Bombyx mori: one gene and its partners. The protein of the gene in region 2 purifies or fractionates together with the protein of the main gene of each other region. This does not show direct contact. Links are inferred from orthologs where the notes say so. Each region holds a gene or a part of one and is shown on either strand. Other genes may lie near its edges.

Region 1 (7,908 bases), on a different chromosome or scaffold from region 2:
TAAATTATGCATAAGAAATACTTTAAATCAGTAAAAAAAAACATTACACACACTACCATGTATTTGACACACACACACACATTTATACTCTTTTGTTTATTGTTAAAGTCTGTGGTCAAATTGAGAATAGATTAATATTGTTCGTCTTTAATATTATTTATCTATAGTGTAGCCTTGGTGAAATTTGTTATTAAAAAAGTCTATGAAAGTCTTTGACAATAGTCCCTTAATAATGTTCAAACTTATAGTTTACGTTAATTATATTCAACTATCGAGCGACCACTAGTTATATTAGTTATATGATTTAAATTGTATAACATTAGCAATTCGTTATGAGCTTACACACAACAAACAAACAAACCAGTGATCATTTCTATAGATTGGTATATCGGTGGATATGAACGTCTAAAAATGCTCACAACTACAATCTCAAGAGTTTAGGTCATCAACTTTATTCCTGAATCGTTTTTGAGTTTGTCATAATGCCTATCCCTATAAAGCCGCTTTCAGACTACGTTATAATATAATAGCATATAGTATATAGCTCATACCACAACAATAATGTGCACCATGTATTGTTATGGACACATTCACATTGTACTGTACTATATATTATTGATTAAGTATACGCTGCTATACTGTATGGCACTATAGTATAGTGTAGTCTGAAAGCAGCGTAATGCTATTAACCTCGTCAGCAAAAGGCACATCATTGGTGTCGATGAGGAACGTGGGCGGTGGGATGGGTCCGGCGGCCGATAGCGTTCGGTGCAGCGGGAGATACTCATTACTCATCAAGGCTTCTAGCAGTTCTTTCAAGGCAAGGCGGTTCGGTGGACTCCTGGAAACATCATTTGAAAATTTTCATTCAAATTTTATAAACAATTTTAATGAAGGTTTAAGGAAATATACATGTTTTCTTATTGCTTAGATGGGTGGACGAGCTCACGGCCCACCTGGTGTTATGTGGTTACCAGAGCCAATAGACGTCTACAACGTAAATGCCGCCACCATCCTTGAGGCATTAGTTGTAAGGTCTCAGTTTTAATAGTACAACGGCTGCCCGGCCCTTCAAACCGAAATGCATTACTACTTCACGGCAGAAATAAGCAGGGCGGTGGTACCTACCCGTACAGACACATTAGACGTCCTACCGCCAGTAAATTGATTGTTTGTATTAAGTAATAAAATCGTGTTATAATGCTCCTATATTTTTAATGAAGCGGTCGGTACCACCATGTAATATTTTGAATTGAAAGTTCATGAGGTTGTAGAGGGCGAAAATCAACTTGTGATTACTAATAGGTTCCAGTAACACCTTAACTGGGCCAAGGCTCATGCAATAAAATAAAAACCTTTATCAGTCATAACTCAGTCAACTTTTTTTACTTTAAAATCGGCCTTAGCTCATAAGCAATACAATCCCAGAACGTTTTTATAGAAAACTGAATTTACATTACAATATCTCCAGATTTTACTAGGTTTAAATTAATCATGTCGTTTCCTTGCATTAAAACTATATAATCTCAAAACTTACTAATTTTATAGGAGAGTGTTTTAAAGGTTTATAAACATGTAATATTTTTAATACTAATCATCTTCGCAACTTTAATTTTTTATTTTTTACCAGTTACATTATCTGTCTTTTAAAGTAAGATAAAATTATGTATTAATTTAGTTAATAGTAGGCAAAACATAGGTAAACAACAAAAAATAAAAAACTACGCCCTTTTGACAGTATTTATGAGAAAAATACTGGTGATACCAAATGATTCCGCATATTAACTCAATTTCGAGTATTTTTGGAAATTGTACACTTTTAATGCGAAAAGACGATGTGTCTATATTTCATAATATATGTTAGGTCTTACCCATCACTAAGCGGTATCAATGCAGAACAAGTGGCCCGGGCCACAGCACTGGTGTCAGTCAAACGTTCGGCCACAATCGCCTGCAGCGGTGAGTAATCAAACTCCAGGTCCTTAGGAGATACTTCTGTCATCATTACTTGTTTTGCTGATTTTTTCATAACCTACAAATTCGGTAATAACTGATCATTTTTTTTGGTTACATCAGTAAATAGTAAAAACGAGTCTTAGTCTACTGTAAAATTCACGCATTGTCGCTTAGTCACACTTGCCTTCTAAGCGTCGATATATAGGATTTTATTTTAAATAAATTTAATATCATATATATCCAAAATCATAAAGTGAAACTCACATCTTTAATGTTTACAGGCAAGAATCCATGCAGCTGTCCTATAAACAGTCTCTCCTGTGGAGCTAGAGGCAGAAGACCCAGCTTCCCTTCTAGGAGATGCAAGAACAATGGGCTGAATGGGTTTTCTCCCTTGTAGAAGTCATATAGAAGAGCCAGTGCAACAACACGCTGCCCAGGGAGTGAAAGATCTCCGCCCGTAATCAGCGATGACAGGAGCAGACTTACTGAAATTAAATTTATATTCATATATAACTTTAATGATTGTTATTAAATAGATATCAATACAAAAGTTGTGTATGGATACTATCATTTGAAAATGAAGTATAATCCAGCAAACTCTAAATTGGGGATTTCCAAAAAGAGAAATTTATACATTTTATATTCCTGTTATGGTTTGTGAATATTTTCAACAACACATCTCAGGTGATATACTTCAAATTTTACCTGGGTAAGCATGTAACAGAGATGATAAATACCACAATAAGGTTCTGCTACCTAGTTGATGAGCTTTGAAATGTTTGGAGATGAAACAAGCTATCATTCACTAACAACCACAATTAATTACCATTATTTATTTATTTATTTATAACTTCTTATACTAGAAAGTATAAAGGCGGACTTAATGCCATAGGCATTCTCTAACAGTCTACCTTAGGGGAGTGCAGAGATGAAGCTTGGTAGGTGTATTATACAGCTGTACGGTGAAATGGACCACTTATTATCAACATTACATCTTATTAGGGTTTCTTAGTAGGGATATTGCTAATTTACAGTACAACAGTAGTTAACAGACACTAGTCTTGTACACAGATACCCATATCTTTAGGTTGATTTGAAAATGCTAATACATTATCATCCTGAATTTACCACCCTATCATTATTTTCATGTAAGCTACCTTGAAAGGACAAATCCTGTAAGTGTGGTGTGTAAACGTAATGTTGATAAGCACACGGCTAAACTTAAATTCCCAGGAATTTTAATCTTTAAATTTAAGTCAAGTCTCATAGTCCTGCCAGTGGAATTGATATTTAATAAAAATATATTACTCACGATTAAAATGATCGGTCTTCGGGAACTTTTTTTGAACTTGAACACATATTGAATCTAAGCCCTGCGAATCGACTGTCTGTTCGGAAAATAAACTAAAAAGAAAAAATAAATAACAATAACAACATAAACAACTTTGCAAGTTTAATTTCTCGTGGTGTTTTTACTTACTCGAGTATGTATTTACTGTTTTCATTAATCAGATGTTGAGACATTTTATTTATTTAACTAATACTTATCAAATAAATTTATACGCTTAGACGAAACACAAAATAATGAAAATAGAAGTTTTTTAGTAAAAGTCAAAACACAATTCGTTAACAATACAAAATTGCTTCATTAAGAAACAATTATACAAATTTTACAAGTTTATTTATAATTGGAGAATTAGGTACTGTTTGGTACTGTTGTATGTACACTTGATATATCATTTACGAAAACAGTATAACCTTACAAACTTACAACTTCTTTTAGGGCTTGTAGTTCATAAATAGTGTAGGTGTAGTTATATAGTATATTCTGTATATTGAAGGCATTAGCTGTTTAAATGTCTTATCTGTGGCATTAAGCTTAGCTCTACTGTAAGGATGTATAGCTCCTGAGTGAGTGATATAAAAGATATATATCACTCACACCGATAAAATGTATCACTAACACTGGCTCCAAATTATCAGTAACTCATTTATAGCTCACTAGATCACTAGCTCATGAAAGTATCGTGAATTGATGAGCGAACGAAAGAAAAAGGAATGAGTGAGATAGATGCATCGTGAGGCTGGCTGACGAGAATGACCGTTCACTTCACGCTAATTTCATTTCGACGTATTGGGTTGTCAAGGAAAAATGTACATTATTTCTCTAAGAGCAAAGCTTAACATAACTCTTGTATTTTTGAAACTAAATTTATACTTGCTTTATTTTCTTACACAAAAAGCTAGCCATTAATTTGCGAAGTTAATACATATTATGAATAACGCGATGCTTTATCAAAAAATATATTTTAAAAAGTCTCTTAATGTGTCTAGTTCTATGGTAAGCTGCATGTTGTAAATATTTAATGTTTTTTTAATACTTAGTTGGGTGGACGAGCTCACAGCCCACCTGGTGTTAAGTGGTTACTGGAGCCCATAAACATCTACAACGTAAATGCGCCACCCACCTTGAGATATAAGTTCTAAGGTCTCAGTATAGTTACAACGGCTGCCCCACCCTTCAAACCAAAACGCTGTACTGCTTCACGGCAGAAATACGCAGGGTCGTACCTACCCGTGCGAACTCACAAGAGGTCCTACCATCAATAAGTTTAATCATAAAACAGTGTAAATAAACTATATTTTCTATTACTTAGTGTATGAAAGGCCCTGACAGTTATATAATGAACTGACCATTGTAAATATTCCAATACAAAGTGAGTGATATATGTATACTGAGCTAAATAATCTAGGCTAAGAAATGAATTAATTGAGAGACCAATCTATTGAATTGAATCACTGGTCTAGTGAGCTAAATTAGTGATTTGTATCTTTAGCGCGAAATGATATGTATCTACCTTTTCAGCTCAGTGATACATTTTGCGCATGACTATTCTAGTTATTCTTCTTTTTCTTGTCTAGTTCCATTTTTTAAACTTGAAAGGCAAAGGTATCGTACGATAAAGCCTAATCTTTTATATATATATTTATATTTTTATGAAAAATGATTATGTTGTGAAATGAAATGAAGTTGATTAGTTTGAAACACTAATCAATTGGCACGAAAATAAATGAAATGAGATGAAATGATACGGGATGAAATATAATCTCAGTAAATGGTGGTTATTTATTAAAACTTTTTCAGTGGACTTTTTGGAGGATTCAGAGTAGCCACGTCCAGCGGCTTTTTGTTTAATATTCCCACTTTTGTGCACTTTCACAGGTACCAAACAGTTAATAAACCACCGCTATTAGCTTTTAGTTTAGTGTTTAATTTTTAACTTAGCTTATAATGATCCTACCGTAGATAAAGTGTAAACTTTAGAGACACTTAGAAGCACCGATTCGATTCGATCTATTGGGAACATCATTTTTCGTCAAATCGATTACCTATTCTATTAGAACACTATCTACAGTTGTTAGTTTAATATATCCTTTGTGGGACACCTGGTATGTGCAACCTCATGTTATGAGCCGTAACTTAAAGAAAGCCTTATATATGGGGCACCATTTTGGGGACCTAATAAATGACTCATCTGTACTCTTTGCCCGTCCAAACCTCAACCAGATGCGTGGATATATTATTTTTTTATGAATGAGGGATTGCTGGTGGCTCGGAGGCCTTTTCAACTTCATCAAGACAGGAGGGCGAGCAAAGACTTAGTCAAGAGAGGTAGGATTTGCTAAAAGCTGCCCAAGCACCTCCAAAGGAGACCTAACAACTCAAGAGTAGCTGCTTCGCAAATGAATTTATTACCGGATCGGAATCGCTCTAACGGGATAATAAATTGGTATGAAATTAAATGAAACAATGTAATGTAAGATATATATAAAAATAAATTGCTGTTCGTTAGTCTCGCTAAAACTCGAGAACTGTTGGACCGATTTGGCTAATTTTGGTCTTAAATTATTTGTGGCAGTCCAGAGAAGATTTAAAAGGTAGATAAATATGAAAATGCTGGAAATTAAATAAAAATAACAATTTTGTTTTTTCCTTAAAGTTTCCCCCGTAGGACTGATTCCTTTTGATTGTTTTAAGTTTGTTTTATACAAAAGTTTAGGTTTGAGGCACTACGAAGTCTGCCGGGTCAGCTCCTCCTCCTCCTTGCGCCGATAATCCTCAGTGCTGAGGGTCGTGGCCTCCTCTAATAACTTTCTCCTGCATTATCTTGCGCCATTCCTGCCTGTCCTCGGCTGTGTGGATAGCAACGTGGACTGAGGTATTGAGAGTGGAGCGTATTTGGTCCGACCAGCGCATTGGATTTCTGCCTCTGTGCCTTCTCCCGCATACCTTGCCGGGTCAGCTAGTCTAAGATAAAATAAAATCTTAGTAAAACAGTTACTCTTTACTGCGAGTTCGGTGGACTTTTTTTAGGAACCCTAGAATCCACGTCAAGAATCTTTGGTTTATTTTCCAACATTCGTGCATCTTCACAGATGCAAAAAAGTTAATAACCGTTATTAACCGTTTAAATCTGAAGAAACATCAAGAAACTTTAAAACAATTCAACTTGGCTCCTCGCGTTTCTACAATAAAGTCCTAGTACATTATTTATTTCACTATATAGATGGATTTACTCTAGAGCTCATTGGAAGAGCGAGATAGCTGTCGTTCTGTCGCAGACTCTTCGGCAAAAGATTGAGACTATAAATTAATGTTTCAAGGCAGATACCTGCAGGATGCATTTACGTTGTGATATCCACGGAAACCCCCACTATCAGCAGATCGGCAAGTCCCACATACCCCGCGCGCCCTCGTAGGAGGTTCGCCCACCGGCCCGAAAAAAAAACCAGGGAAGCTGGTAACCGTTTAACATCGAAGCAGTTTAGGATACGAAGTCACCTCTACGAATTGACTCTTACGTAACGTAACTTTATTGAAACTTCTGAGAAAGACCTCTAAAAAAGATATTTTGTGAGCTCCTCCGAGATCATATATTGCAAAAGGCTGGTCAGCGCTTTATAGATTAGAGGCTCAAAATAAATGTTGTTTCGATTTCAAATCGCGAGATGAACGTTCACATTCGGCGTTGCGTTGTGGTGTCTTTGTCCTATTAGTGAGCAAACGAGGTCACAGCTCATCTGGTGATAACAAGATATAAATTTAGATGGTTACCGCCACCCACCCACATTTTACACACGAGTCGACCTCATTTGCAAAGCGCTATGCAACAAAAGCGGCACGAGGAGGTCCGAAGACCAAGGTCAGAAAGAAAGAAAGAAGAAGAAAGAAACGCAGAAACGAAAGAAGTGACGCTTATTCGGCGTACGCGGGCTGTTGTTGATATGTTAATGATGGTTAATTGAAAAATCTCTAAGCAGTGCTTTGCATTTCCCTGGATAGCAGCATCATTCTACCGGGCGGGCCGATACACCCATTTCTATTTCCTACGAATTAAAATAAAAACGCATTTAGTAAGTACCTACATTGTGCTGAAAACCTTATAGCTAGGTTGATAGCTTCAAGTCCCTTATTATTATTATTAAGTATGTAAGTAGTGCAATAAATGGTGGCATCAATAATGCCAACAACCAGGTGTATTTCAAAAGGACTGCCATACATTAGCACATCTGAACAAGCTTCATGGCATGTTGTCTTGAGAAAACAGCGGTACACGCCTAGTCTTAAATATTTGATGGCTTTATTGAGATACACCGACAATACAATGACCGACTATACTACATGTGCCTTAAAAGGGTTTTTTAACAGTTATGAGAAAGCAGTTAAAAACAACAACCATTGTTAAGAATGAATTAAAGGCTATCAAAATTTTTTTGTGAAACGTTTTTATTCGTAGACGTCAAAGATTTAATGATTTCAACATTTATGTCTTTATGATCCGAATTTCAACCTTAATCTAACCACATTGTGTGTACATAACTTTAGCTCAAATGAATTTAAAAAAAATGACCTAAATATGTAGCGCAAGGTATTCGGAACAATGTGAA
Region 2 (7,931 bases):
TACATTTACACACTAACGAGACATATATACCGGGGGAATTAATTTAATGTTCATAAGTTCTCACACGTGAGGTTCGTTTCACTGTTTATCCTCTTGCAACACTTCTATCTTCGTTACATCACCGAACGTCTCCACCTCATCTGTAATTTTTTACGCGAAATATAAATACGGGTGACTCGCCTATAACACGGTACCCATAGACACAGCCCACTGAGTTTCTCGCCGGATCTTCTCAGTGGGTCGCGTTTCCGATCCGGTGGTAGATTCTGCGAAGCACTGCTCTTTGCTAAGATCAGTGTTAGCAACTCTCCGGTTTGAGCCCCGCGAGCTCACCTACAAATGTTAGGGTGAAGCTGAAATAGCCTCTCAAGGCTATCAGGTAAGGCAGGGAAAAAAAAATTACACGGTAGATACGTTCCTACAAAGTTTCCTGTTTTGCGAAACCGTATTATGACACTAGAAGTCAGTACAAAAAGGACAGTAATTTAACAATGAAACATCTCAACTACGGGCTGTATGTCATGTATTATTTTACATATTATACATAAAAAATAAGCAGAAAAATTGCGGTTATTCCCATATAATATTGTGTGTTCATAGTGCGTAATGTAATTTTATAAATAATTTTAATCAATTAATTTATCATTAAAGTTGAAATTTAAACAAAAAAAATATATCGAGGGTTGCAAGACTATTATAACATATGTATATAAAGGTTTAAGCGACATTTCGAATTTCCATTATTAGCATCAAAAGACGATATTTTTAATCAAATTTCAATTAAGAAGAATTCGAACGCCATTGAAATAGCTGAAGTTTTTTTTTTTATTTTTTTTTTTTTAAGCCTTATTAGCTTCCTGTACAGTTGCAAAAATGTCGCTTCAACCAAATGACCTTTCACCCCTCGATATGTGTAATTGTTGTCAAATTGTGACAAGTGACAGTTTTACTGACGGTAGGCCTTGTGGGCCCGCACGGGTAGGTACCACCCTGCCTATTTCTACCGTGATACAGTAATGCAGTGGTCGTCGGAACTTATACCCTTGAGGCCGATATCTCAATCGACTGCGCCTTCGCAAGAAAATTTGAATATCGAAAAATTGGAAGAGAGAAAGAGAGAGAGTATTCTATATAGTACACAAAAAAAAAATTAAACAATGCGAAACATTAGATAAATAAAAAAGTACAATAGGCGGTCTTATCGCTAAGAGCGATCTCTTCCAGACAACCATCAGGTGGACCAAGTTGGTTTCTATCTTTTAATATTTATAATATTTTAGTACGAAAGGATTAAACATTGCAATTATATTGCAATTATATTGAATTATGTTGAATTTATGATTGATTTATATATTTAATTTATAAACTATTTTGGCAGAATAAATGTATTGGTTTTAGAAGTCAATTTATAAATAAATTAATTTATATAGATAGTAATTTATATTTTTGATTTATTAATAATTGTAGTTGGGATAATAATTTTAATTCTAGACGTTTTAATTGGGGTTGCTTTTTTAGGTTAAATTGTAAGTCTGTTCGTTCTAGAGTCTGTGGTCGGTGTCCGCACTCACGTGTGCCGAGCGGGGGGCGGGGGCGGCGCTCTCAGTCGTCGCGCTGCACGTGGCGGCGCTGCAGGGCGAGCGCGAGGTCGTGCTGCAGCGCGGCGGTGCGGCGCGCCACGTCCGCCGGGATCACTGACCTCAGCCCGCTCACTATATCTTTTGTTTTACCTACAAAACAAAATCATCACCTTCAGTGTCTTTTTTTATTTATTGCTTAGATGGGTGGACAAGCTCACAGCCCACCTGGTGTTAAGTGGTTACTGGATCCCATAGACATTTACAACGTAAATGCGCCACCCACCTTGAGATATAAGTTCTAAGGTCTCAGTATAGCTACAACGGCTGCCCCACTCTTCAAGCCGAAACGCATTACTGCTTCACGGCAGAAATAGGCGGGTGGTGCTACCTACCCGTGCGGACATACATGAGGTCCTACCACCAGTAATTACGCAAATTATATTTTTGCGGATTTGGTTTTTATTACACGATGTTATTCTTTCACCGTGGAAGTCGATCGTGAATATTTGTAAGTACATATTTAATTAGAAAAATTGGTAACCGCCTGCGGGATTCAAGCATCGGTGCATCGCTAGATATGAATGCACCGGACGTCTTATCCTTTAGGCCACAACGACTTCAAAGAGTCGCAGTCTTCGCAGAGTCCTTGACTACTTCGGTCACAGTGTAAAGAAGAATGGAAGCAACCTCGAAAGGCTCAATAAGTTGGGCCGACCAGATCCGCCCTGCCCATGGTCCGACATTTCACAACGCCCTCCACACCACCAGAAAAAGAAACAGGTGGAGAAAAATCTTACGAGAAGTAATGACATAGAAATAGTGCAATAGGGAAATAGTGCAACGAAGAATGAATTTTAAATTTGAAAGTGGCAATAACTTGTCTTTTAAATTTGAAAGTGGCAATAACTTGTCTGTTAAATATAAAGTAATTTAAAAGGAAAAATTGATACCAAAATAAATGTCGTTAAGTGTGTTTCTGATCTTATTTTCCATGTCTTCCACCATGCGCCCAATATTTGCAATGTGCGGAGTCACATCACTTACTGTCGAGTCTTGTTCTGCCTGAAATTCAAAAGATAATCTATAATATTAAAAATACGATATTATAATTTTAGAGTAAATGGATAGAATACAGAAAGTCTGAAAGAGGCACATGGGACAGAGAAGTTAAGAAGTGTGTATTTGGAATGATATGGACATGTAATAAGACGAAATGACAATGAGATTGTTAAGAGTTTTAACTGTGAATGTGCAAGGCTTTAGAGGGAGAGATAGACCTAAAAAAATTGGATGGATTGAGTGAAAGATGATATTATGTGTAAGAGGGGAGTAAAGAAGAAATAGTTTATGATAGAGGAGTATGGAAGGAGAAAACATGTTGCGCCGACCCCAGGTCACTGGGAGTAGGGCAAGAGAATGATAGTGATGATGATGGCATTATAATTTTATTAAGATTTGGGGATGCAGTACCAGAATGCAATTGTGAGGCTGCAATTGCATTGTTGTTGTTGCATAAATATAAAAATAGAACTCCTGCACAATATTATTAAGCTTTGTGCATATAAAATAAAACTAAATTTACCTGTCTAGTCAAACTGCCTCCAAGGTTCATCGTGCCGCTGCTTTCTTTATTAGTCTGAAGCCACAACATTGCAGTCGAGGTCAACTTGTAGTGAGCATTGCGTCCTGAACTCTTCTCGATCACCTCCACTACGTGGATTGAATCCCAGCATCCTTTGATCTTTTGGGAACCATCTCCAGCTTTCTTGATTAATATTACTCCTGAAATTGTTTTGTTTATTTTTGTATTTGTAATTATTATTTTTAAATATTTAAAGGTGGACTAAATAATGAAATATTAGTGTATAGATGAGTATTTTATACTATAAAATACTATTATATACACTAATATTTCATTAATCATTTCAAAGAATTAAAATAGAGTGTCAATGAAAATAATGAATGAAAAAGATGATGCAATTAAACATGAAGATTAATGTTTTATGTGAGAGATTATTTAACTAAAAGTATAAAAATATTACCAAATTAATATTATTTACTCTTTATTTAAAAGTAGTTTTTACACTTTATAGAGATCCATACCCAGTGGTGAAATGAAAGATAGCTTATATTTATTCTTAGAGCTCAAACTATTTCCACAGAATTTTGTAAAAATTGGCATACTGGTTTAGAGATGAAAACATAACATATAGACAGTTACTTTCATATTGTTAATGATATTTGTTATAGAACTTTTAAGATCAAAGAGTATAAAAGTAAATAATAAAAGTATTTAAAATTAACAATAACTTTCTAGCAAAATTAAATTTTATGAAACTCTTTATTGATCTCTAAATTAATATCTGTCTATATGAAAGCAAAGTGAAAATCCATTCAGAAATTCCAGAGAAGTGCTTCAACAAACAAACAGATTAATATAAAAGAACTAAAAATTGCTAGTTTCTGTTCTACTAGTCTTCTTTAGTTGCCCCCTAAAGTAATAAAAATACTATTATTACTTTTCTGTAATGCACAGCCACCCTGGAATTTACTGTTCTAATACATGTCTTTAATTTACAGAGACTAAATTAAGAGTGCTCACCTGCAAAGCCATGATCCATATCCCAAAGGTAGACTGAGCTAACGCCACCTTCAAAGTACATCTCTCGATATTGATCAAAGGCGAGGTTGGCATCTATTTCTAGTTTTCTCAAGCGTTCAGAGGGCATGGAGCCATCATCTAATGGTGGGTCGTAAGTATTCGACCAAGGAGACCTATAGGAGTCACCGTCGCGATTGTAATCGCATAATAAATAGTCTTTCCCGTTGCTACGATCCTGAGCAATCTTTAGAGGCTGATCTACTGATGATAATAGGTCGTCACACATACTCGGAACGAGATCTATCAAATCTGTTAAATTCTTTTCGATCTGCTGAGGGGGCAGCCTCCGCATCAAGTCCAGTGCACAATCCATTTGTTGGTCACTCTGTAACAAAATATATATGCACGATTTTAGTATAAATACTTCTTAATTTCCTTGCATTAGTCATCACAACAAATAGCTTGTTATGATGTATGCCAGGTCACTGAAACTGGAAAGACAACTTACCATATTGAAGTTTTATTATTCGGATTAACAATTAATAACAAAATAACCAAAGTAGTATAATTATTTCATTAAATTAATAACTACAAGTTTTAAAAGTCCCAACCCGAAAATGATAACTTGACGTAATTTGACACTTGAAGTTTAGTAAAGTACCTGCATATGTAGTGGTAGTTATATTTTTTTCACTAGAAAGGCGAAGGGATTAACTTAATCATTTTAAAGTCATTTAACCTAATCTTTTGCATATTCTGTTTTATAAAAATAATATAAAGTAATTCATTTCGCTCTATATCGGGTGGTGAGTAGCTATTTAGTTTAAGCGACATTTCAATTAATACGCGACATTTATCTTTATAATTAAAGGTGCATTTTATTTTGTATCATATCAACATATCGATGTTTTTAATTGAGCTTCAATTAAGTTTACCACATTCAAATAGCTGAAGAGGTTTCTTTATGATATTTTTTTTCAAATTTTAAACATAAAATGGCTCTCGTGTAAGGTTGCAAAAATTTCGTTTAAACCAACAGCCTTTCATCCCTAGGTATCATGGATAGTTTTCCAATAACAGCACTAGAGCGCATTATGCGGCATAATGCTCAACGTTGAATGTTCCAACTACAGCAACGCTTCGCACAATCGAGCACTCTCAAAAGTACTGCCTGTCATCAGAGATTTTATTAATGGCTCAAATAACTCATCTGTTTCATTATCATAAATATTTTCAATAAATATATCACTTGATAATGAAATAATTGATTGATTTAAACTCGGAGCACTCGATAAATTATCGTCATCACTGTCATCTGGATAAGATGATTCAATTAAAAAGTATACACATCATTTTCTTAGAACTCATTTAAAAAATACTCAAAACGAAAAAAAATGTTAATGAAATAATCGAAATCCAAATTACTTAAAATAACCGTAAATAGTTTTCAACCAATTATTATTGTTTACCACATTATTTATACATTAATGAGGTTGCTAGCTCCGTAAATATTTTTTTTTCAACACTGAACAACAGCGCACTCTGCTGATGCATTTGAAAACTAATTCACGTTCCAATTAAGCTTCAGCATAATTCGGCATTGTGTGCCACTGAGTCGTATTATGCTCTGTAATTGGGAAACTACCATGAAGTTGATTAATTTGGAACATTAATCAATAGGAGTGAACTTAAATCAAACGAAATGGTATGGGATTAAAAAACAGTCTCAAAAACGTAGTGGTTATTTATTGCGAAACTTTGTCCAGATATCTTGTTCATTTTCTCAATTTATGCATTTTTGCAGATATTAAACAGTTAATAAACAACCATTAACACACATTTAGGACTGAATAAACACTACATTAACAAAGTAAAAGAATTCACACAACTTTGCTTCTTGAATTACCGCCAAAAAGTCTATACATAGTTTATGTATACGAGGGCGGCACTGAAAATTTCGGGAATTAACGAAGTGATACAACATTACTATGTAAAAATGTATTTATTGCTTTTTGAAGTATTCTCCGCGAAATTTGACACATTTTTCCATACGATGGAACCAATAATTGATGCAACCATTCCATTCGGAAGTTGGGGTCTCCAAAATGGCCGTTTTGTAGGCGTCCACAGCTTCTTCAGGTGATGAAAATCTCTGTCCACGCAATTTATTCTTTATTTTAGGGAAAATATAGAAATCATTAGGGCTTAGGTCGGGGCTGTACGGCGGATGGTCTAATAATTCTATGTTTTCTTGCTCTAAAAACTCTTTTGTTCTGTGCGCGGTGTGAGAACTCGCATTGTCGTGATGGAGGATGATGCGGCGGTTGCAGTTCTCTTTACGGAGTTCAGAAACGACCTATGGCAAACAAATGCTAGCATACCATTCTGCATTAACCGTTATTTGTCCCTCAAGAGGAATAGTCGTAACATGGCCGGTTTTTTGGACACAAAGTGGCCACAATTTTTTTGCAACACTCCGTGAACGAACAATTTTTGTTGTCTTTAACTCATTTTCGAACACCCAAACTCGTGACTGGTTTTTTGTTTCGGGTTCGTACGCGTATATCCAGGATTCGTCACCTGATACAATGTTGTATACAGCATTTGTGGATCCTGTGTGGAATCTTTCGAGAGTTCTGACGCACCAAGTAACGCGAGCCGCTTTTCGCTCTTCACAGAGCGAATACGGTATCCATCGGGAAAACAACTTTTTTACACCTAATTGTTCATGCAAGATTATTTGTATTTGACTCATGCCAATGTCTAAAGTTGCCTGAATTTCGCGGTATGTCACATGTCGATTTTCCTCAATCAGCTTACGCACAGCATCAACGTTTTCTTGGGTGACTGCAGTTTTTGGACGACCTTGACGGGGATCATCACTGAGCTTGACACGTCCACGTTGAAACTCAGCAAACCAGTGATAAATTGTGGTTTTGGATGGGGCTTCATCACCAGATGCAGAAATCATCCGGTCAACACACTGTTTTTGTGTTAAACCACTTCGAAAGTCATAATAAATCATCGCTCTTGAATTTTCTCGAGTCAATTCCATTTTCTCAACGACTAAACAAGTTTGACAAAACCTCGTGACAAGACCGAGATTCTTTTTTTAAATAAATAAATGGTACCGTAAAATGGGGCGATTAGGGATTGAGAGGCGAATCGGGAAAAAACCGGGAAAATCTTTCGACGCTCAATATTAGTTTCATATTCGTTGCAAAATCTTCCATTTTTTGTAGTTTAATAGTAGAATGTTGAAAGTTTACAAAACGACTCTGAATATGCATGATAATAGCTGCTAACTTATAAAAAATCGCGTTTCAAATTAACGTTCTGTGGTGGTAATTATTTTAGTGCTAGAAACTTTGCTCTCTTTTATTTATTTGATAATAATAGAAGACGACTGTGATTTATAAACGTTATTTAGTGTTTGAACCATCATATATATTAAAGGTAAGTCTCAGTTGTTATTGGTTTTAATGTATGTGATAAAATAAAAATACATGTAAAAATCTGTTGTTTTGGGGATATTAGAGACGTCTTAGGTACAAATAACAACGAAAAAGGGGTCAATTGGAATGAGAGTACGTGAAATGGAAACGACCTAAGTATAAATAGGTACAGGTTTGTAGGGTTGTCTATGTAGTTATAACAATTTTTTTTTTAATTTGGTGGTAAAAATTTGGCTTATTCATGATGTTTTTGTCTAGAACTTTTATTTAAAATTATCAATGTGTTATTTTATT
Region 3 (7,912 bases), on a different chromosome or scaffold from region 2:
TAAGTGTGACCAGCAGCTCTGAGTACAGTTTGGTGTCCTTTGGCACTTCAGCCAGGCGCTTGCGAGCTTCATCAAGTACATTACGTACGTGATCTTCACGCACTTTCAGTACCTTCAGACGAGCTTGGTTCAGCATGTTCGAAGATTGGCTGAAATAATTTTAAACTACTGTTACTGACAATTTAAAATGTTACAAGTATAATAATTAATTAACGGTAGGCAGCGGCTTGGCTCTGCCCCTGGCATTGCTGAAGTCCATGGGCGACGGTAACCACTCACCATCAGGTGGGCCGTATGCTCGTCTGCCTACAAGGGCAATAAAAAAAAAAAAAAAAAAATTATATGTATATGATGAGTAATATGTTTAATATCGCAGTATGTTATGATTTTTAAATTCAACGTCACAAAATACACTGCAGTACTTAGATTGTTTTGATTCTAGTTTATCTAACTCATATTAATATTATGACTTAGTTCATTTATTTTTCGTTTCATATTCAAATGTAAAATGTATAATTTGTTGTTTTTTCATATCATTCAAATGTGATACTTAGTGAATAGCACTTCTTCATTTTTATTTATAATTCATCGTTTTAGATAAAAATAACTTAGAATGTAATCAATAATCTTTACTAACCTAAAAAATCACATACTTTATAGTAGTATACTTTACAGTAAATAAATAAAGAAAAATTATCAATAGAAACATGACTTTTAGACATGTGTAAGTAATGCGAGTGATATTACTCCGGTAATATTACTCTACGATGTAATGCAACATCACACATTACGCGAAGGAAACAAACATCACACTATCACCCACAGAACACTATTACTTCTAGCGAAGCTATCACCCAACATGTTTCTTTCTTTGTCGTGTAATGTTGCTTGATACACGAACGGAACCGAGCGAGCGAGACAGACCGATCTACGCAAAATAAATGAGCAAGCGACACGGAATTATTCCTAGTGATTTTGAACCGTATGCCCTGGCCGCTAGGTACGTTTTTATACCTATGGTACGTCTGAATTTAATATATCAAATACTAAATCAAATTATATTAAGTAAAAAATAAAATTATTATATTATTAAATAAGTCAATCTCTGTCAAGTAATATAACAGTGTATTACAATACAAAGTATGAACACATCACTTAAGTAATGATTCGGGTGTATAGATACAATGTATTCGTCACAGTATCTATTGAACGCACCGAGTAATGTTAAGAGTGATGTGTAATGTTTTCGAGTAATATCACCTGTCTGTAAAAGTGATGTCATATCACATTACATTGAGAAGTGATGTTTTGCGCAAGTCTAATGACTTTGGTTTTTAGTAATTTTTTAATTTGGTATTTTTTTCAAATTTTAATTTTGTTTCTTGTTTTTACTCATTATTATCATAGACAAATGTTTAGAACATTAAATTTTAAGACAAAAAATGCTATGTTAAAAGTGTTTCTAAGATTTTCTTATCAGAACTATCTATCAAGATAGTGAGTTTGTGTAATGACCTTATCATCCATTCAGTGATATAAATACTATTAAGTACATTGCATGGATTTTTAACCTAAAAAGAAATTATATCTGCCCATTTCAATTTTTTTTAAACAAATATTCTGAACTCTACTGTAGATTATTTTGAATTATAATTAAATCTTCATTTATAATGAAGTCATTCCCAGAACAAGAATGTCAAAGTGTTAGTGTTCTGAAAAGATATCATGTTTATCTAAATAATTATATTTTATTATTCCATCCCATTTATCACTTTTATAATCAATTCACACAACCAATGTAAAACTTGAATGTGAAGTTTTTCTCTAAATGTGGTTGTCTAAATTTTATAACTACTAGTTATACTGGATAGAATTAATTGAATTTTTTTCATCTTTTCATTGATGATTTTATTTAAATGTAATTGCATCACAATATTTTATGTTTTTAAAGTGATGCTTCTTTTTTACTGTTTAAGGCTCTGCATGAAGAGATTGATAGCTAGTGGTCACGATCACCCATGTCAATCAAAAATGTCATTTACATTATATTATTATGTATTAGTTACTCTATAAAAAGTCACATTAAATCTCATTATTGTTTCATTTTTACTATTCGTAATTTCTAATTTTTTAGATTATTTGATAATTCTATTCTGTTTGAAATTTTGTGACTTTTCTATTGTAACACCTAATACATATTGAATGTTCAATTTGAGAAATCGTAATAGTCGTAATCAATACTGCTTGGTCACATGATTGTTCGTTCGTATGTTCTTTGAGTATGCATAAGGTTGTATGTTAGTTTTACGGAAACCTACATCTTCTTCTGAAGTTCAACCTGCTTCTCCTTCTTTTCATAGTATTCCATAATCTTGAGACGTTGCTGCTGGACAAGACGGCCCTTTTCGATGTTGAACTCCTCCTCGGCCTTCGCATCGATTTCTTCGGCCTTTTCGTTGGCCTCTTGTTCGATGAAGGCCATCATGTGCTTGATCTGAATTGAAAAATATAAACATTCTGATCAAAAATACGGAGTATAATGCTCAAAAACATGAAGTCCAGTCGAGGCAGTCTTATGAGTTGTCGAAATTACAATGGCACATCCCGATCAATGATCGTGACATATAATCCTTAAAATACTTGATTTTGTAGATAAATCAGTTTTGTTTATAACAAATACCTGTTTCTGAACATCTGCATCGCTGAGCGCCATGGCTGCTGCTTATTTTTAACACCACTAACACGAAAAACGGCCGATATAGAGCCAGAAAATTAATGACTGGCTCGGGGAAAGAAGTCTACGCCTATCAGACGTGCTTCTTTATTGAACAATCATATGATCTTAGTGTTGCCAAAAAGTATTGATCAGACATAGACAATTTTTTCTGAAATATTCAGAATATGAATCAATATATACATCTCGATCCTTCTTTGCTCGATGTCGGTAAGTGAAAAGGATATAAGAACTAGGTCGGCAGAGGCCGTATTCTGGTCGCTAGTCATAAAGCACGCAGAAAAACTTTTTGATTTTGTTCTATTTATGTAAATAAGATATAATAAACTTTTTTTAGCTATTATAAAATTTTTGGAATCAGATAGCGTTCCCATGTTTGCCGCCAGAGGCACTGTTTCCACTACATACAAATTTGAGATCTTTTACGCAATTGAGAAGTTAAAAAACTTGCACTAAGCACACCGAAGGACCGTCTTCTGACCGTTGTCGAAACTTTGTTAAATCTGCAATAACAGCAATGTGCACCCGATCCTTAAATATTTTCGTTAATGTTTTGAAATGAAATCCACAATTTAACTGCTGTTGTAAATTGTGAATTTGAACTAGGTAAAATGTATTTTTAACGATTTTCTACCCATCTGTACCAACGCCAGTGGTGGGCGAGCTCACAGACCTCTACCTGAAAGAAATTGTTAACACTGCTCTGGCTTCGCTGAATCTACTACCAGTTAAGAATCAAGATTCAATGAGAAACTCAGTGAGTGTCATAGGGGTTCAGTACTCTCAGTTAAGCTTCGATTTTACGACGCTAGTGGAGGGTACTTGAGACTGGGTTGAAGAAGGCCGAAGGCCTGGATCGAATAAGGCAACGACGATTGTTCGTTGTCATCATATAGGTCGGGAATGTAATTTACGGCGGCTACGATAAGAGGGCTATTACGCCGTGCAGCTTCCTCAAAGAAAGGTTCTGATGTTCTCTTCAAATATTAACGAATCGCTTCTAAATCCAAGTATTCGTGAAGATCTGAATCTTATACACCGTATACATTTTCCTTGTTTAAAATTTTCATTTTCTAATGTAAGATTTAGAAAAGGACGAAGAATCAAATATTTGCTATATATACCTAGTTAAATTTCATTAGATTGTAGTCTACGTAATGTGTGCGTAGATTGCTTTCAGACGCCATCCAATCTGCCGGAAATGTTGTATTCACAGTGATACAGAAAACACCTCAGGGAAGATAATAGATGTCTGACTCGAACTCGTTTTCAGTTATGTTTAAAATATTTTTTGGTTGGGTTTTATTATAATGAGACCGTCCGATCCATTCATCTGTTCACCTATCGGAATCATTAGGAAAGATGAATGATCCACCAAGCTTCCGGCACTTTGCAGGAATAGTTTAGTTTTAGACAAGGGAGGTGGGTAGTTTATAATTTTCAAATAATGGTTGTGAAGTTTAGATTATTTAAAAAATAAGGCTTTAAGTTAAAAAATAATTGTTTTAATCCTAATTTAGAGATTTTTTAAAGTAATTCTGAACAAAGATAAGAAATGAAGAAACGAAGTTCTACGAGGCACAGTAGCCAAACTCATGAAGATCAGGTTTGCTACTTATAGTTATGCTGTAGAGTCTTATAAAACTCTCAAATACACGTTTAAGCACAGTATTATGTACAGTATTACAGGTTTATGTACAGTAACGATGCTACGGATTGCACTAGTATGGGTAGTATAGTAATGTAAATTAAATAATTTTATTGTAAATTCTTAAAAATATTAGTATAAATTTTAAATGACAGATCTATAATAAAGAGACAAAACGATTTATACTATTTAAACTATTTAATAAAATTGTCAAAACTATTTTTATTTTTTAACAAACTAATTCATACGGCCTGGTTTTGAAGCTTTTTGATAATTTCCGTCTGCTTCTTCAACCTTTTAACAATATGGCCGCCTGTTGTTTAGGGTAATGTGGCGTTCAGCGAAATCGTATGAAAATTTTAAAACATTTATCAGTGACGTAAAGATGTATCAAGTTTACAGTGTTTTATAGCAGCGTTTTACGCGAAGACAGTTTTATGTACCATTTATATTGGTGTTTAAAATTTTGAATGCACAAAAAACATCAAAATTGGACAGTCAACAAATCTTGTTTATTACATCGAAGCGGAAATATTTATCTTGGCAGAGTATACGCGATTATGAACCATTCTTATTCTTTATAAAATAGTTGAACAAGGACTGATAATAGGTAAATATTGACAACGTTCTCAAAGTGAGCCCAACAACATCACAACAAAAATTGTCGCCATTGTTTGACAGGGGCAACTAAGCCATTTACTGATCTTTAATACATTCTCCATATCCTCTCTACTGTATAATATGCTCAACTGAAAACAGTTTTGTGATGCTCTTCAACTATCATCTCTCTCATACGTCATGCATACACTTAACCAAAGTTTAAATTAATAATAAGCAGCATGCAATTCCATATATAGTTAAGTATTCCTTCTACTTTCTCTTTCACATTTCCAACTACTTTACAACCGATTACTCCATGATTTAAATATTAGTTTTATTTATATTATATATTTATAGCCCATATTCCATAGAGTTGAGTCACACAAAATTGATCTCTTTTGTCTCAAACTTGATAACAAATTTTCTGATTTACAACAAACATTGTATTCAGAGGTTCTGCACATATTGGCACAGAATTTAACTGCTTTTCCGTTTAATATAACCATTGTGTCAACATACTGTAATTACTTGTGCAAAATACTTAAATTGTGAAAATTATTCTTATAAATGAACTCTAAAATCACAATACGAACCAGATACTGATAATGTAAGAGCAATAAAAATTATATCTGCTTATAAAATTGGAACACGATTTAAATATTTGAAATTGTAAATGAAATAGGCATGAATCTGAATAAATTTTATTCTACATCAACTTCGTCTCACACTTCCTTGACAATACCTCTGTAAAATTATTAAATATGTCCACTACATGATTATAGTCCATTGTGTGTAGTCATTTATCTATTATATATTATTAAGAGGAACTTTTACCAAGTAGATGGGTATTTTTGCTTAAGAAACGTTTTATGTTTTAGATCAAAACTAAATTAAATCTAAGCATTCACTAGGCACAAGTCAGGTTTCCGGTAAATGTAGCATAAAGATGTTATCCTTTTCCCCTACCTATGCTGATAGCCTTGAGAGGCTAGCAGAGGGAGATATTTCAGCTTCCACTGAGAAGATCCAACTAGAAACTCAGTGGGCTGTGTTTATTGGTTAATTTACTCGTTGAGCCCTTCGCCACAAGCAGTGGGTTGTGCAGGTTCAGAGAGGACGGTGGCCGGTGCTTAAGGTACCTAAAAGCACCGTTTATAGATCGGGAGATCCGTAATGACGTGCTTAGGGCAATGTTACCTACAATAATTATATCATATTGTAAAAAGGCTTATTTTTTTAGGTTATGGCAAACTTGAATTTTCAACAAGTGCCTCGAAGCCTAGCTAGTGGCGGAGTTGGTGGCGTTGGAGGCAGAGTGAGCTCAGGTCTTGTTGGTAGTGTCTCAGGACATGTGACACCAACTTTTGGGGGCGCCTTGTCGCCTGGCCGTAATTCAACTGCAATGCCAGGCGGAGCTCCCCCATCAATGGCATCTAGAGCTACGTTGTTTGGTCAACGAGCTTTTGCAGACCGAAGGGTTACAATGCCAACAACTTTATCTCAAGCTAATTCTAATTCAATGGTAAGTATTTTAAAATATTAATTGTGTATATGGCTAAAAATCAAATTAGTGTTTTCTGCTGATAAATATAAATATCAATGAACTTTACTTAAATAAATGAAATGCTTAGACTTTAAATTCAGACATACCTTGAAGTAAATCATCATGTCAGCTAACTTACACCACCATCTGTTAGAAACCTAAGGAGGTCAAAGAGTATATAGACACTTGAAAGGCAAACGTGACTAAGTGACAATAACTGCTTTGTACATAAATGGTAGGCAATAACCATATTCGATCTGGAAAAACAAATATATTTCTAGGTATATTAAAATTATTTCAATCCTACAGCTAGATTTGTTAAAATATAATTTTTCTCAGGTATTTCAACTTTAAATTAGTCTACTGTAAAGTTCACGCATTGTCGCTTAGTCACGTTTACCTTTCAAGCGTCGATATATTCCTTTGTTGAAAATTACACAAATAATTAATTAGCAACAAAAAATATTGTTATTATATATTGAAATAAAAGCTGTCATATCTTTAAAATTGTAATAAAGCACATTTTTGTGAAAAAAAAGTCATAAATTGATTACATAGTTCTGGAGTTCATCTCAGACAAATGTCTAGTTTTTATTATAATATATCTAATTAGCCCCAGCTATTTTTAAAAGATGTGGAATCAGGCAAACTGACATTATTGCCATTATTACAAGGGTGGTCACATCTTTGGTGAAGTAGAAAAACAAACTTCTCTACCAATACCTTATTATTTTCCTAATACAATATTTTAGAGGTCTGATTGCTTTCGTTATCTATTGTCTTAAGATCTTAATTACCAGTCAACAAATTTTATTTTACATTGATATTAAGACAATTTTTATGAAGATCTAGAACATGTTTTAGTTTTGGTAGAGCTTGTCTTTAGTTAAGTTAGACTTAACTTTAGTTCTGCAGTTCTTGTTTTAATTATTTTGTTAGTAAAGAATGAAATGTCACTATCTACCTGACTCTTTCTGATTTTATAAAAAGCATTACAGTCACTTTGTAATGATTAAAATGAAGCTACAACCTTTTTTTAAATCAAATAACTTCATTGTTACTTATAATTTTATTAGGGGAACACAATTTATATAAATCTATAAAACTTGCCTGCTGGGCTAAGTGTAAATTTATTTTAGTTTTAGCAATCAAACATAAGTGATAAAAATTTAATGATGAGTGAATGTTAGCATAATTTTCAAATGTTATTGAATAACACCAAAGAAAAGTTTGAAGTTTGGAAATAATAAATCTAAGATTAAACTATTAAGAAAAAACTAACTAAGTACTTATTGTGTCTAAGACTTGTAGAAACTGCAGTACACACTATCTAATTATTAATATGCAAATTTGAGAATTTTTTGTCTATGTGCTGTTTATTGTTAAG

Evidence for each region. The genes of interacting proteins can lie anywhere in the genome.
Region 1: the proteins of F-actin capping protein beta subunit (region 2) and CCR4-NOT transcription complex subunit 11 purify together in Homo sapiens (co-immunoprecipitation; 3 studies listed by BioGRID and IntAct, with this or other methods). This does not show direct contact. The link is inferred for Bombyx mori from reciprocal best matches to the Homo sapiens genes CAPZB and CNOT11.
Region 3: the proteins of F-actin capping protein beta subunit (region 2) and regulator of gene activity purify together in Homo sapiens (co-immunoprecipitation; 4 studies listed by BioGRID and IntAct, with this or other methods). This does not show direct contact. The link is inferred for Bombyx mori from reciprocal best matches to the Homo sapiens genes CAPZB and CNOT2.

The regions. Positions count from the first base shown.
Region 1 is NC_085125.1:1,941,882-1,949,789, forward strand, and holds the start of CCR4-NOT transcription complex subunit 11, read right to left. Parts: upstream 3,983-7,908; 5' UTR 3,484-3,982; coding exon 3,440-3,483; intron 3,364-3,439; coding exon 3,272-3,363; intron 2,445-3,271; coding exon 2,221-2,444; intron 2,033-2,220; coding exon 1,872-2,032; intron 842-1,871; coding exon 691-841; intron 1-690. UniProt on the Homo sapiens protein: Component of the CCR4-NOT complex which is one of the major cellular mRNA deadenylases and is linked to various cellular processes including bulk mRNA degradation, miRNA-mediated repression, translational repression during translational initiation and general transcription regulation.
Region 2 is NC_085109.1:2,864,864-2,872,794, reverse strand, and holds F-actin capping protein beta subunit, read right to left. Parts: upstream 4,842-7,931; 5' UTR 4,694-4,841; coding exon 4,691-4,693; intron 4,568-4,690; coding exon 4,183-4,567; intron 3,363-4,182; coding exon 3,163-3,362; intron 2,643-3,162; coding exon 2,531-2,642; intron 1,732-2,530; exon of another isoform or gene 1,731-1,731; coding exon 1,603-1,730; 3' UTR 507-1,602; downstream 1-506. UniProt on the Homo sapiens protein: F-actin-capping proteins bind in a Ca(2+)-independent manner to the fast growing ends of actin filaments (barbed end) thereby blocking the exchange of subunits at these ends.
Region 3 is NC_085113.1:7,418,993-7,426,904, reverse strand, and holds the start of regulator of gene activity, read left to right. Parts: upstream 1-3,930; 5' UTR 3,931-4,289; coding exon 4,290-4,340; intron 4,341-6,222; coding exon 6,223-6,504; intron 6,505-7,912. UniProt on the Homo sapiens protein: Component of the CCR4-NOT complex which is one of the major cellular mRNA deadenylases and is linked to various cellular processes including bulk mRNA degradation, miRNA-mediated repression, translational repression during translational initiation and general transcription regulation.